Linked DNA regions of Saccharomyces cerevisiae S288C. Each later gene encodes a partner of the first gene's protein in a complex. Each region holds a gene or a part of one and is shown on either strand. Other genes may lie near its edges. A codon is read from its position in the direction of its gene.

Evidence for each region.
Region 2: the proteins of TOM71 (region 1) and HSP82 are in contact, whole or in part, in a crystal structure (PDB 3FP2), measured with the Saccharomyces cerevisiae proteins. Residues at the interface, in NP_011985.1 of Saccharomyces cerevisiae: Lys131 (codon at 2,112), Asn135 (codon at 2,124), Phe138 (codon at 2,133), Tyr150 (codon at 2,169), Val162 (codon at 2,205), Asn166 (codon at 2,217), Ala169 (codon at 2,226), His194 (codon at 2,301), Lys196 (codon at 2,307), Leu199 (codon at 2,316), Arg200 (codon at 2,319); in NP_015084.1 of Saccharomyces cerevisiae: Met705 (codon at 3,810), Glu706 (codon at 3,813), Glu707 (codon at 3,816), Val708 (codon at 3,819), Asp709 (codon at 3,822).

What each region holds. Positions count from the first base shown.
Region 1 is NC_001140.6:340,628-348,486, forward strand, and holds TOM71 (protein channel TOM71), read left to right. Parts: upstream 1-1,721; coding exon 1,722-3,641; downstream 3,642-7,859. Other genes in the region: ubiquitin-conjugating protein DMA1, read right to left, coding at 1-732; COX23 (Cox23p), read left to right, coding at 1,038-1,493; ORC6 (origin recognition complex subunit 6), read right to left, coding at 3,694-5,001; histone methyltransferase SET1, read left to right, coding at 5,416-7,859.
Region 2 is NC_001148.4:95,996-100,322, reverse strand, and holds HSP82 (Hsp90 family chaperone HSP82), read left to right. Parts: upstream 1-1,697; coding exon 1,698-3,827; downstream 3,828-4,327. Other genes in the region: YAR1 (Yar1p), read right to left, coding at 237-839; GTPase-activating protein CIN2, read left to right, coding at 4,065-4,089, 4,170-4,327. UniProt on the Saccharomyces cerevisiae protein: Molecular chaperone that promotes the maturation, structural maintenance and proper regulation of specific target proteins involved in cell cycle control and signal transduction. Undergoes a functional cycle that is linked to its ATPase activity.

The DNA.
Region 1 (7,859 bases):
CCCACTGGAAGACTTGACATCTTTCAAAAACCAGTTTCCTTGGTCATCAACTTTGAAACACCCATGGGTCCTGGATATCACTTTTGATTTGAACACTACGGGATGATACTGATCTGGAATTTTGGAAATTGCCTCTCTTACTCTTTCGGTGTATCTTCCGATGATAATTTGCGAGCCTGCGCCCGCAGTCCTGATAATGGGGTCAAAGAAAAGACCCTGGTTAGCCACAGACGTGGATGAAGTATCTATAAACGGGGTTAGCCTAATGCTGAAAAGCCCGTGCTTGTCCATTCTGCGTTTCAAAGTAGATTGGTCTATCCGTTCCGGTAGCGAGGTATTTGGTGGGAGATGTATATCAAGTGAAAACTCCGTCTGATTGACTTGGTTTGGAGGATATATGAAATGGCGGATACTCTTTGTAGTGTTCACCGCGGGGGCTGTATTCGTCTCCACAGTGGCAGCAGCAGCAGCAGTAGCACCAACATTGCCGTTTGCGCTACCGTTATTTGCAACGACTAAAGAAGTAGCCGTACGCGAGGGCAAAATACCTAAACCATTGCTAACGCTATTATTATTGCTGTTATTGTTAGGCGTATCGTTAATGGTGAGAGAGATGGATATCGGTAGTCTGATGGGATTGTTGAACTTGGTGTGATCGTGAGAGGTAGCGATGCCAGAAGCAGCAGGTGGCGTCTGGTTTGGGGGAGATGAGGGAACAGTATTAGTAGACATCCAGGAATAACCACTATACAGAACGTATGTGCACAGGAAATCGACACTGTAAGAAGAAAAGCTCACGGCACAAGAGTCAGAAACAGGGCAGTGAACAAAGAACGAGAAGTACGGTTTACAGTTGAGCCGTACACCGAGTTCCTCTTTGAATAATATCGAACCTATACACTAATGCACTAATGTGTTTCTGTTCACACCCAGAATTCTAAGGCTCCTGCTGATCCCAATGCTAAGGTTTATCAATTTTCTCATTCTCTTTGTGGGCCGTAAACAGTGATATTCTCTCACGAGAGCGCTTAAAGAGAATGGAGAAGCCCAGCCCCACCAGGCGGCAAACTAGTAGTCTCTCCACTATCTCCAACGGTATGACCATGACCAACGATAATAGGGATACCACAAATACCAACAGTGGCTCTACAAGCAGCAACAATTCACAACCATCTTCGTCTTCCACGCCACCAGCGGCCAGTGGACCCGTAACGGACAGAACCAAAGTCAACTATGTACCAAAGAGCGACGATCCGTCGTCATTTCAATACTACCCAGACGACCCGGAGAACCCGGTCAATAAGTATAAATTCGCGTTAAAGGCTGACAGTCAGTACTATGATCCTTGTGAGGAGTCCTCCAAGCTCAGTTTTCAGTGCCTCGAGCGCAACGATTACGACCGATCCAAGTGCCAAGAATATTTTGACGCATACCGCGAATGCAAGAAACAATGGCTGACAGCCAGGAGGAAAAACAGACAGCAGTGGGAATGAGGCAGCCTTTTCTTCTTGTTTGTTCAGCTGTGATCTGTTTTCTATATAGATCGCCACTACGCGACGTAGTGTTCCGACAGGCAGCCACAGCACACTCTAGTGCAATGTGAAAAACTAATTCGCAATGGTATGTAAATAAGCAAGCTAAATTGGATTTTCAAAGTGCGAATAAAGAATTTTTTGTATATATCTCTACATACTTGTATATACCGAACATAAGAAGCTCTTATGGCCGAAAACTCCCTCCTGAGGTTTATCACCAAGAACAAAGTGGCCATCCTAGCAACGGTCTCTGCGGGGACTGCTGCTGTGGGTGCTTATGTTTACTACCAGCAAATTAAGCAGCAGCAACAGCAGCAATTGAAGGGTACAAAAGACAACCGACGTCAAAGTGAGGCCTTTGCTGGTCAAAATGAAGACGAGGCGGACTTAAAGGACGACGGCAGCGTCGTAAGTGGAAGTAATAAGAGGAAGAAGAAGAAGAATAAACGCAAGAGGAACAATAAGGCAAAATCGGGAGAAGGGTTTGACTATCCCTCCTTGCCCAATGGCGAGCCTGATATTGCCCAATTGAAAGGCCTATCACCCTCCCAGAGACAAGCGTATGCCGTGCAACTGAAGAACAGAGGTAACCACTTCTTCACTGCTAAGAATTTTAATGAGGCCATCAAATACTACCAGTATGCCATTGAGCTGGACCCGAATGAACCAGTGTTCTATTCCAACATATCTGCTTGTTACATTTCTACGGGCGACTTAGAGAAGGTTATAGAGTTCACTACAAAGGCACTTGAGATAAAACCTGACCATTCTAAAGCCTTGCTGAGACGTGCATCTGCCAACGAGTCACTGGGCAACTTCACTGATGCTATGTTTGATCTATCTGTTTTGTCATTGAATGGTGACTTTGATGGAGCCTCCATTGAACCTATGCTGGAAAGAAATTTAAATAAGCAAGCAATGAAAGTACTAAATGAAAACCTATCGAAGGATGAAGGCAGAGGCTCGCAGGTTTTGCCGTCTAACACATCTCTGGCGTCATTTTTTGGGATTTTTGACTCTCACTTAGAAGTTTCTAGTGTGAACACCAGTTCAAACTACGATACTGCATACGCTCTATTGTCAGATGCTTTGCAAAGACTATATTCTGCAACAGATGAAGGTTACTTAGTAGCAAACGATCTTTTAACAAAGTCCACTGACATGTACCACTCTCTACTTTCTGCAAATACAGTGGACGATCCTTTAAGAGAGAATGCTGCCTTGGCATTGTGCTACACGGGTATTTTCCATTTCTTAAAAAATAACCTGTTAGATGCCCAAGTTCTTTTACAAGAATCTATAAACCTGCATCCAACACCAAATTCGTACATATTTTTGGCATTGACCTTGGCCGATAAAGAAAACTCTCAAGAATTTTTCAAATTTTTCCAAAAAGCTGTTGATCTAAACCCTGAGTATCCGCCAACCTATTACCACCGTGGGCAGATGTATTTTATTCTACAAGATTATAAAAATGCCAAGGAAGATTTCCAAAAGGCCCAAAGCTTGAACCCTGAAAATGTTTATCCCTACATTCAATTAGCCTGTTTGTTGTACAAGCAAGGTAAATTTACCGAATCTGAAGCTTTTTTCAATGAAACAAAGTTGAAGTTTCCTACCTTACCTGAGGTGCCCACCTTTTTCGCTGAAATCTTGACAGATAGGGGCGATTTTGATACTGCAATTAAACAATATGATATTGCTAAAAGGTTGGAAGAAGTGCAAGAAAAAATACATGTGGGTATAGGACCCTTGATTGGGAAAGCAACTATATTAGCTAGACAATCCTCTCAAGATCCAACCCAGTTGGATGAAGAGAAATTCAACGCAGCCATTAAGCTGCTGACAAAAGCCTGTGAATTAGATCCACGATCTGAACAAGCGAAGATCGGGTTAGCACAACTAAAATTACAAATGGAAAAAATTGACGAGGCCATAGAATTGTTTGAAGATTCTGCAATTTTAGCAAGAACTATGGATGAAAAACTTCAAGCTACTACCTTCGCGGAAGCTGCAAAGATACAAAAGCGTTTGAGGGCTGATCCAATCATAAGTGCAAAGATGGAGCTAACATTAGCTCGTTATAGGGCTAAAGGCATGCTTTAGAAGATATGTCAGGTATTGGTCAAATATATACTTTTAGTTAATACTGGATATGTTATAAAGGTTCTGTTAATGCCAAATCCATTTCAATTCTTTTCTTCCAAATATTGTACTGGTCGTCTGTGACCAAAATATTGGTGGTTTGTAACATCGATCCCAGTTTCCTAAATATAATTTCATCGTATCTGATGCCATCAAAATCATCATACCTAATTTGCAAATCTCTGAACCATTTTTCACCGATAATTAATTCCTTCACTAATTTTACACATTCAATAACATCATCCACTTTTGACGTCAACATCAAGCTGCACATCTTACTGACTATAAAATGGTCAATTCTTGGATCCTTGCGTCTTCTTTCATTAAATACAATGAATGTACAATTTAATACTAACCCACACACTAATTGCCATGGGCAAACCAATCTTGACGCGTTTATGTTGTACTCATCCACAATTTTATATGCTACTTCTCTTGGTAATTCAAAATCGTTGCAAAGCCGTATTATTTCTTCAGTAGTCATTTTGCAATACTTCTTTACTAACAAAGAATTTGGTATTCTGCCCCTTTTCCTCAGGGCTTTTGCCGTCTTCAATTCTGATTGCGGTTTTCCAACTGCCTTATTTTGTTTCGTTCTCCCGCTTCTGCTTTCTTGCACACCTAATGGCTCTTCCTCACTTGTAGGGTCACTTTCATGGTTTTCATACTCATCAGAATCTACATTTCTGGTTCCAGTAATGCTCTTATTACTATGGCTTTTTAAAGACAAACCGTCGTTTCCTGGTTCCTCTTCATCCTCATCCTCATCCTCTTCAAATGCTAACTTTCTCCTAGTAATAGACGGCGATTCATTGGTTTGCATGGGGGGTAGTTCTGGTATTACGAACGAATCATTATTTTGGCTTTTCCTAACTTTAGTTGGTGTACCAAACAGTTGATTCCTCAACTCTTTCGGATCAGAAGAAGTAAACCTCCCACCGTTCTTTACTGGACTGCGTTTGTTCTTTTTGGGGCTCGGTGTCCAAGCAAATTGTTTCATAGGTGAAGAATTAGATAAACTTTGTCTGAAAAGGTTCATTAAATGCTTGGCTTTTTTCGGCTCCAAGGGAATACTGTCTATATAATAGCAAAGGTCAGGCATGTGTTTTTCATTCATTTTCTGTGACGCTATGTATGCACATATGTGACATCTAGCAACCTCTTCATCTTGTTTCAGCATTACCTTGTTCAGTGAAGTATTATATAAAATCGATGTCGCATTAGTCAACTTCTTCAAATATCCGCTCGACCAGTCCGGTTTTTCTTGTGGATCTAGTCGAAGTACTTCTGCGACACAATGTTGGACTTGTTGCATGGACATGACTGGTTTTAATGGTATTGTTTTGGCCAATTTTATTTACTGATATTGTACACTTTTTTCTGCAATTTTAGTGTGAGATTTTTTTTTTCAATGCCGATTTCTTACTAACGTAAACAACGGCAAAGAACAAAGAAATACACAGTTTTATCACAAAGAGTTGATTTTTGCTGAAGAGAAGCGTGAGGAGTGTATTCGAAAGCCTTGCATATTCTGGACACTTGCGATTCTAGCTCTTTACGGACGCCCGCATTCTTTTTTCATACTCTGTTTCGTGCTGCTTTCACACAATATTTTTCAAAAGTTTCTTCTCATCGTTTTTCTGTTAGCAACCCTCAACTTACGAGAGAGTTGCGACTAGCATAGGTAACATTCCTTATTTGTTGAATCTTTATAAGAGGTCTCTGCGTTTAGAGAATGTCAAATTACTATAGAAGAGCACACGCGTCTTCTGGTTCATACAGACAACCCCAGGAACAGCCTCAATATTCGCGTTCTGGTCACTATCAGTATTCAAACGGCCATTCTCACCAACAATATTCTAGTCAATATAATCAACGTCGACGTTATAACCATAATGATGGTACAAGGCGACGCTATAATGACGATCGCCCACATAGTTCAAACAATGCAAGTACGCGACAGTACTATGCTACTAACAACAGCCAAAGCGGCCCATATGTAAATAAGAAATCTGACATCAGTAGTCGGAGGGGCATGTCTCAATCACGGTATTCAAATAGCAATGTTCACAATACATTAGCGTCTTCGAGTGGATCTCTTCCCACAGAATCTGCTCTGCTTTTGCAACAAAGACCACCTTCAGTTTTGAGATACAACACAGATAATTTGAAGTCTAAGTTTCATTATTTTGATCCCATAAAAGGCGAGTTCTTCAATAAGGATAAGATGCTTTCGTGGAAGGCTACAGATAAAGAATTTTCTGAAACAGGTTATTACGTAGTCAAAGAGTTACAAGATGGACAGTTTAAGTTCAAAATAAAACACAGACATCCGGAGATAAAAGCATCCGACCCACGTAATGAAAACGGTATCATGACTAGCGGAAAAGTGGCAACCCACAGAAAATGCAGGAACTCACTAATTCTATTGCCTCGCATATCTTATGACAGGTACTCCTTAGGGCCTCCCCCTTCATGTGAAATAGTTGTCTATCCAGCGCAAGATTCAACAACAACCAATATCCAAGACATATCAATAAAAAACTATTTTAAAAAGTATGGAGAAATTTCTCATTTTGAAGCATTTAATGATCCTAATAGCGCTTTACCTTTGCATGTTTATCTTATAAAGTATGCCAGTTCTGATGGAAAAATTAATGATGCAGCAAAAGCAGCCTTTAGTGCCGTTAGAAAGCACGAATCTTCGGGTTGCTTTATCATGGGCTTCAAGTTCGAAGTGATTTTAAACAAGCATTCCATTTTGAATAATATCATTTCTAAATTTGTTGAAATAAATGTCAAAAAGCTACAGAAGTTACAAGAGAACCTGAAGAAGGCTAAAGAGAAAGAAGCAGAAAACGAAAAAGCAAAGGAATTACAGGGCAAAGATATTACCTTGCCCAAGGAACCTAAGGTAGACACATTATCTCATTCGTCCGGAAGTGAAAAAAGAATTCCATATGATCTCTTGGGGGTAGTTAATAACAGACCTGTTTTACATGTCTCCAAAATATTTGTTGCCAAACATAGGTTCTGCGTTGAGGACTTTAAATACAAGTTAAGGGGATACAGATGTGCGAAATTTATTGATCATCCAACTGGTATCTATATTATTTTTAATGACATTGCCCATGCGCAAACATGTTCGAATGCAGAGTCAGGAAATTTAACAATAATGTCTCGGAGCAGAAGAATTCCTATTCTAATAAAGTTTCATCTCATTCTCCCTAGGTTCCAAAACAGAACTAGATTCAATAAATCTAGCTCATCTTCAAATTCTACAAATGTACCTATAAAATACGAGTCCAAAGAGGAGTTCATTGAAGCTACAGCAAAACAAATATTAAAAGATTTGGAAAAGACTTTACATGTTGATATTAAGAAGAGATTGATTGGTCCTACGGTATTTGATGCTTTGGACCATGCAAATTTTCCTGAATTGTTAGCTAAAAGAGAACTAAAGGAGAAAGAGAAGAGACAACAGATTGCATCTAAAATTGCTGAAGATGAATTGAAACGTAAAGAAGAAGCCAAAAGAGATTTTGATTTGTTTGGTTTATATGGTGGCTATGCAAAATCTAATAAAAGAAATTTAAAAAGGCATAATTCACTCGCGTTGGATCATACTTCTTTAAAGAGGAAAAAGCTATCCAATGGTATCAAACCAATGGCACATTTACTGAACGAAGAAACCGATTCCAAAGAAACTACCCCATTGAACGATGAAGGGATCACTCGCGTATCAAAAGAACATGATGAAGAAGACGAAAATATGACATCTTCATCTTCTGAAGAAGAGGAAGAAGAAGCTCCAGATAAGAAATTCAAGAGTGAGTCTGAGCCAACCACCCCCGAATCTGATCACCTTCATGGTATTAAGCCGTTAGTACCCGATCAAAATGGGTCGTCTGACGTACTGGATGCTTCTTCGATGTATAAACCTACTGCTACCGAAATTCCCGAACCTGTATATCCACCTGAGGAATATGACTTGAAATATAGTCAGACTTTATCTTCTATGGATTTGCAGAATGCTATCAAAGATGAGGAAGATATGCTAATTTTAAAGCAGTTATTGAGCACATATACTCCTACCGTCACACCAGAAACAAGCGCAGCTCTGGAATATAAAATTTGGCAATCTCGCCGAAAAGTTCTTGAAGAAGAGAAGGCTTCCGA
Region 2 (4,327 bases), on another chromosome or scaffold:
GCTCTGCGGGTAATGAAATGGAAAGTTCAATGCATTCAAAATATACGCTTTTGAAGCGGTTACTTAGTTTGTGAGAGAAATATACATTATTACTGTAACTCTTTTCTAAATTTTTTGTATTTATTAATGCATTTCTGCTGGTTCCATCCTTTTATCTTCTCCGGTACCAAGAAATAAAATATCATGCTCAATGGATATTACGGCTTTTATTCCACGAAGAAAACAAGCTCTTTACTTTAGTCTTTATTTATATTCAGTTTCTCGGTTTCTTCTCTTAAAGCCTCGGTGGCTTCCTTGGTGACTTGTTCAATTTCTGTACCCTTTGTGATTTGGACCGAATTCTTGCCCTCAGTTTGTGTGTCTTCTTCATCATCTTCAGGTTCGACATCATACTTCTTCAAAAAGTATGTTTCCACTTCTTCCTTCCCGCTGTTCTCGGCCTCAAAGATAGCATCGTGGCCGAATTTGTTTCTAATAAAGGGGTCTGCCTCATATTCATCACACAGTAGCTTGACCACGTCTAATTTGCCATTCAACGACGCCCAATGTAAAGCCGTGTTGCCTGTTTTGTTCACCTCATTAACAAAAGCTTTCAAGTCTTCGGCACTATTTGCGCGAGAAACCGTCTCCAGTATATACCGAACGGTCTCTATATGACCGTTGGCAGCAGCCATATGTAAAGCCGTAGAATCAGATTCACTTTCCTTACAAGTCGAAAGTAACTCGGGACTGACTAAAGTTGTAAATATATCTTTCAGAGAATCCAAATCGCCAGCTCTTGCATCGAGTATTATGGTGTCTTGGTCCTCTTGATCTAACGGTTCACTGTGTAGGCCCATATCTGCGTATATGTAGATTTTTTTTTTCTATTTGGAAATAATTACTTTCTTTGAGATAGAGCGCGAACAATTTTGCCTATCGTATTACAATTCGTTTTTGTTTTACACAAATGATAATTAACTCATCGATTTTTTCTCAGATTCTCTTTTTCTTTTATTACTTTTCCTTCTTATTCTATGAAAATTTCATATCATCGTTCATGGTGATATTACCACGGTGACATCAAATGGAATTGTCCTATTTTTCTTTTCCTGTAATTAGTGGCGCGGGACTTTTTATTCCTCGTGGCAAAGAATGGCTACTAAGAGGAGAATAAGAGATGGTTAGAAGTATTTGGAAGCTTGATGACAGAATATTTTAAAATATAACTTAGCTTGCGTGTGCGTATTTGTATTCTTCGTGGTTACGATATGAACCAACGTGCAAGCGTGTGATATATCACATTCCGGAGGGTGTCACCCCCCCTCTCTCAACACAGTAATCCATAAACCAGTTTTACATACACGTAAAAAAGAACAGGAATAAAGCTTAATCGGATTATTAACTCATACGCTTGTCACATATTGTTCGAACAATTCTGGTTCTTTCGAGTTTCGCAGAACTTTTTGAATTTTTCTTTTTTTTCTAGAACGCCGTGGAAGAAAAACACGCGCATGGTTTTATGAGCGGTTAATTCTCATCTTAATACCAACCAGGTCCTTCCGCCACCCCCTAAAACATATAAATATGCAGCTTATCCCTTCAATTCTTAACATCTGTGACCTCCTCATTTCTTCCCGCTGTATTAGAGTTCAAGAAATCATACCTGATAGAAAATAGAGTCCTATAAACAAAAGCACAAACAAACACGCAAAGATATGGCTAGTGAAACTTTTGAATTTCAAGCTGAAATTACTCAGTTGATGAGTTTGATCATCAACACCGTCTATTCTAACAAGGAAATTTTCTTGAGAGAACTGATATCTAATGCCTCGGATGCGTTGGATAAAATTAGATACAAATCTTTGTCTGATCCAAAGCAATTGGAAACAGAACCAGATCTCTTTATTAGAATCACTCCAAAGCCAGAGCAAAAAGTTTTGGAAATCAGAGATTCTGGTATTGGTATGACCAAGGCTGAATTGATTAATAACTTGGGTACCATTGCCAAGTCTGGTACCAAAGCCTTCATGGAAGCTCTATCTGCTGGTGCCGATGTATCCATGATTGGTCAATTCGGTGTTGGTTTTTACTCTTTATTCTTAGTTGCCGACAGAGTTCAGGTTATTTCAAAGAGCAACGACGACGAACAATACATCTGGGAATCCAACGCTGGTGGTTCTTTCACTGTTACTCTAGACGAAGTTAATGAAAGAATTGGTAGGGGTACCATCTTGAGGTTATTCTTGAAAGATGACCAATTGGAGTACTTGGAAGAAAAGAGAATAAAGGAAGTTATCAAGAGACATTCTGAGTTCGTGGCCTACCCAATCCAATTAGTCGTCACCAAGGAAGTTGAAAAGGAAGTTCCAATTCCAGAAGAAGAAAAGAAAGACGAGGAAAAGAAGGATGAGGAAAAGAAGGATGAAGACGACAAGAAACCAAAATTGGAAGAAGTCGATGAAGAAGAGGAAAAGAAGCCAAAGACGAAAAAAGTTAAAGAAGAAGTTCAAGAGATAGAAGAACTAAACAAGACTAAGCCTTTGTGGACTAGAAACCCATCTGATATCACTCAAGAAGAATACAATGCTTTCTATAAGTCTATTTCAAACGACTGGGAAGACCCATTGTACGTTAAGCATTTCTCCGTTGAAGGTCAATTGGAATTTAGAGCTATCTTATTCATTCCAAAGAGAGCACCATTCGACTTGTTTGAGAGTAAAAAGAAGAAGAATAATATCAAGTTGTACGTTCGTCGTGTTTTCATCACTGATGAAGCTGAAGACTTGATTCCAGAGTGGTTATCTTTCGTCAAGGGTGTTGTTGACTCTGAGGATTTACCATTGAATTTGTCCAGAGAAATGTTACAACAAAATAAGATCATGAAGGTTATTAGAAAGAACATTGTCAAAAAGTTGATTGAAGCCTTCAACGAAATTGCTGAAGACTCTGAACAATTTGAAAAGTTCTACTCGGCTTTCTCCAAAAATATCAAGTTGGGTGTACATGAAGATACCCAAAACAGGGCTGCTTTGGCTAAGTTGTTACGTTACAACTCTACCAAGTCCGTAGATGAGTTGACTTCCTTAACTGATTACGTTACCAGAATGCCAGAACACCAAAAGAACATCTACTACATCACTGGTGAATCTCTAAAGGCTGTCGAAAAGTCTCCATTTTTGGATGCCTTGAAGGCTAAAAACTTCGAGGTTTTGTTCTTGACCGACCCAATTGATGAATACGCCTTCACTCAATTGAAGGAATTCGAAGGTAAAACTTTGGTTGACATTACTAAAGATTTCGAATTGGAAGAAACTGACGAAGAAAAAGCTGAAAGAGAGAAGGAGATCAAAGAATATGAACCATTGACCAAGGCCTTGAAAGAAATTTTGGGTGACCAAGTGGAGAAAGTTGTTGTTTCTTACAAATTGTTGGATGCCCCAGCTGCTATCAGAACTGGTCAATTTGGTTGGTCTGCTAACATGGAAAGAATCATGAAGGCTCAAGCCTTGAGAGACTCTTCCATGTCCTCCTACATGTCTTCCAAGAAGACTTTCGAAATTTCTCCAAAATCTCCAATTATCAAGGAATTGAAAAAGAGAGTTGACGAAGGTGGTGCTCAAGACAAGACTGTCAAGGACTTGACTAAGTTATTATATGAAACTGCTTTGTTGACTTCCGGCTTCAGTTTGGACGAACCAACTTCCTTTGCATCAAGAATTAACAGATTGATCTCTTTGGGTTTGAACATTGATGAGGATGAAGAAACAGAGACTGCTCCAGAAGCATCCACCGCAGCTCCGGTTGAAGAGGTTCCAGCTGACACCGAAATGGAAGAGGTAGATTAGGTAGAACATCATGGCCTTGAATAGGTTATAAACAAAACATAATATAACGTATAGGTATTCGAATGAATAAATAAGTATGTAAATAGGGCATCTGCATGGAAATAACTGGGTAAAACATTACAATGTATTTTTTTAGAGTTTTCACTATTCCGACGCGTCTAGTGTGTCATACAAAACGCGAAGAATCTGAAATCGTGAAATATACTTAAGAATATAACTGAAATAGCTTAAGCATAAATGGACTTTACTGCGAAGATAAAGGGTATGTTGAAACTCATCTGCTTTCATTATGCGTCCAACTAATTAACATTGCATATTTTCGTATACTATTTTTTTGTGTAGAGCTCGAACGAGAACTCTCAGAGACGAGTGACTATAAGACCTTGCAGAAGAAGACCATAAGTCTTCGAAGTGAGCTGAATACTCTGTCACATTCTTTGACATCTTATGAAAAAGAACACTTCTCCAATGATATAGAAAATGTATTAAAATCTATTAAT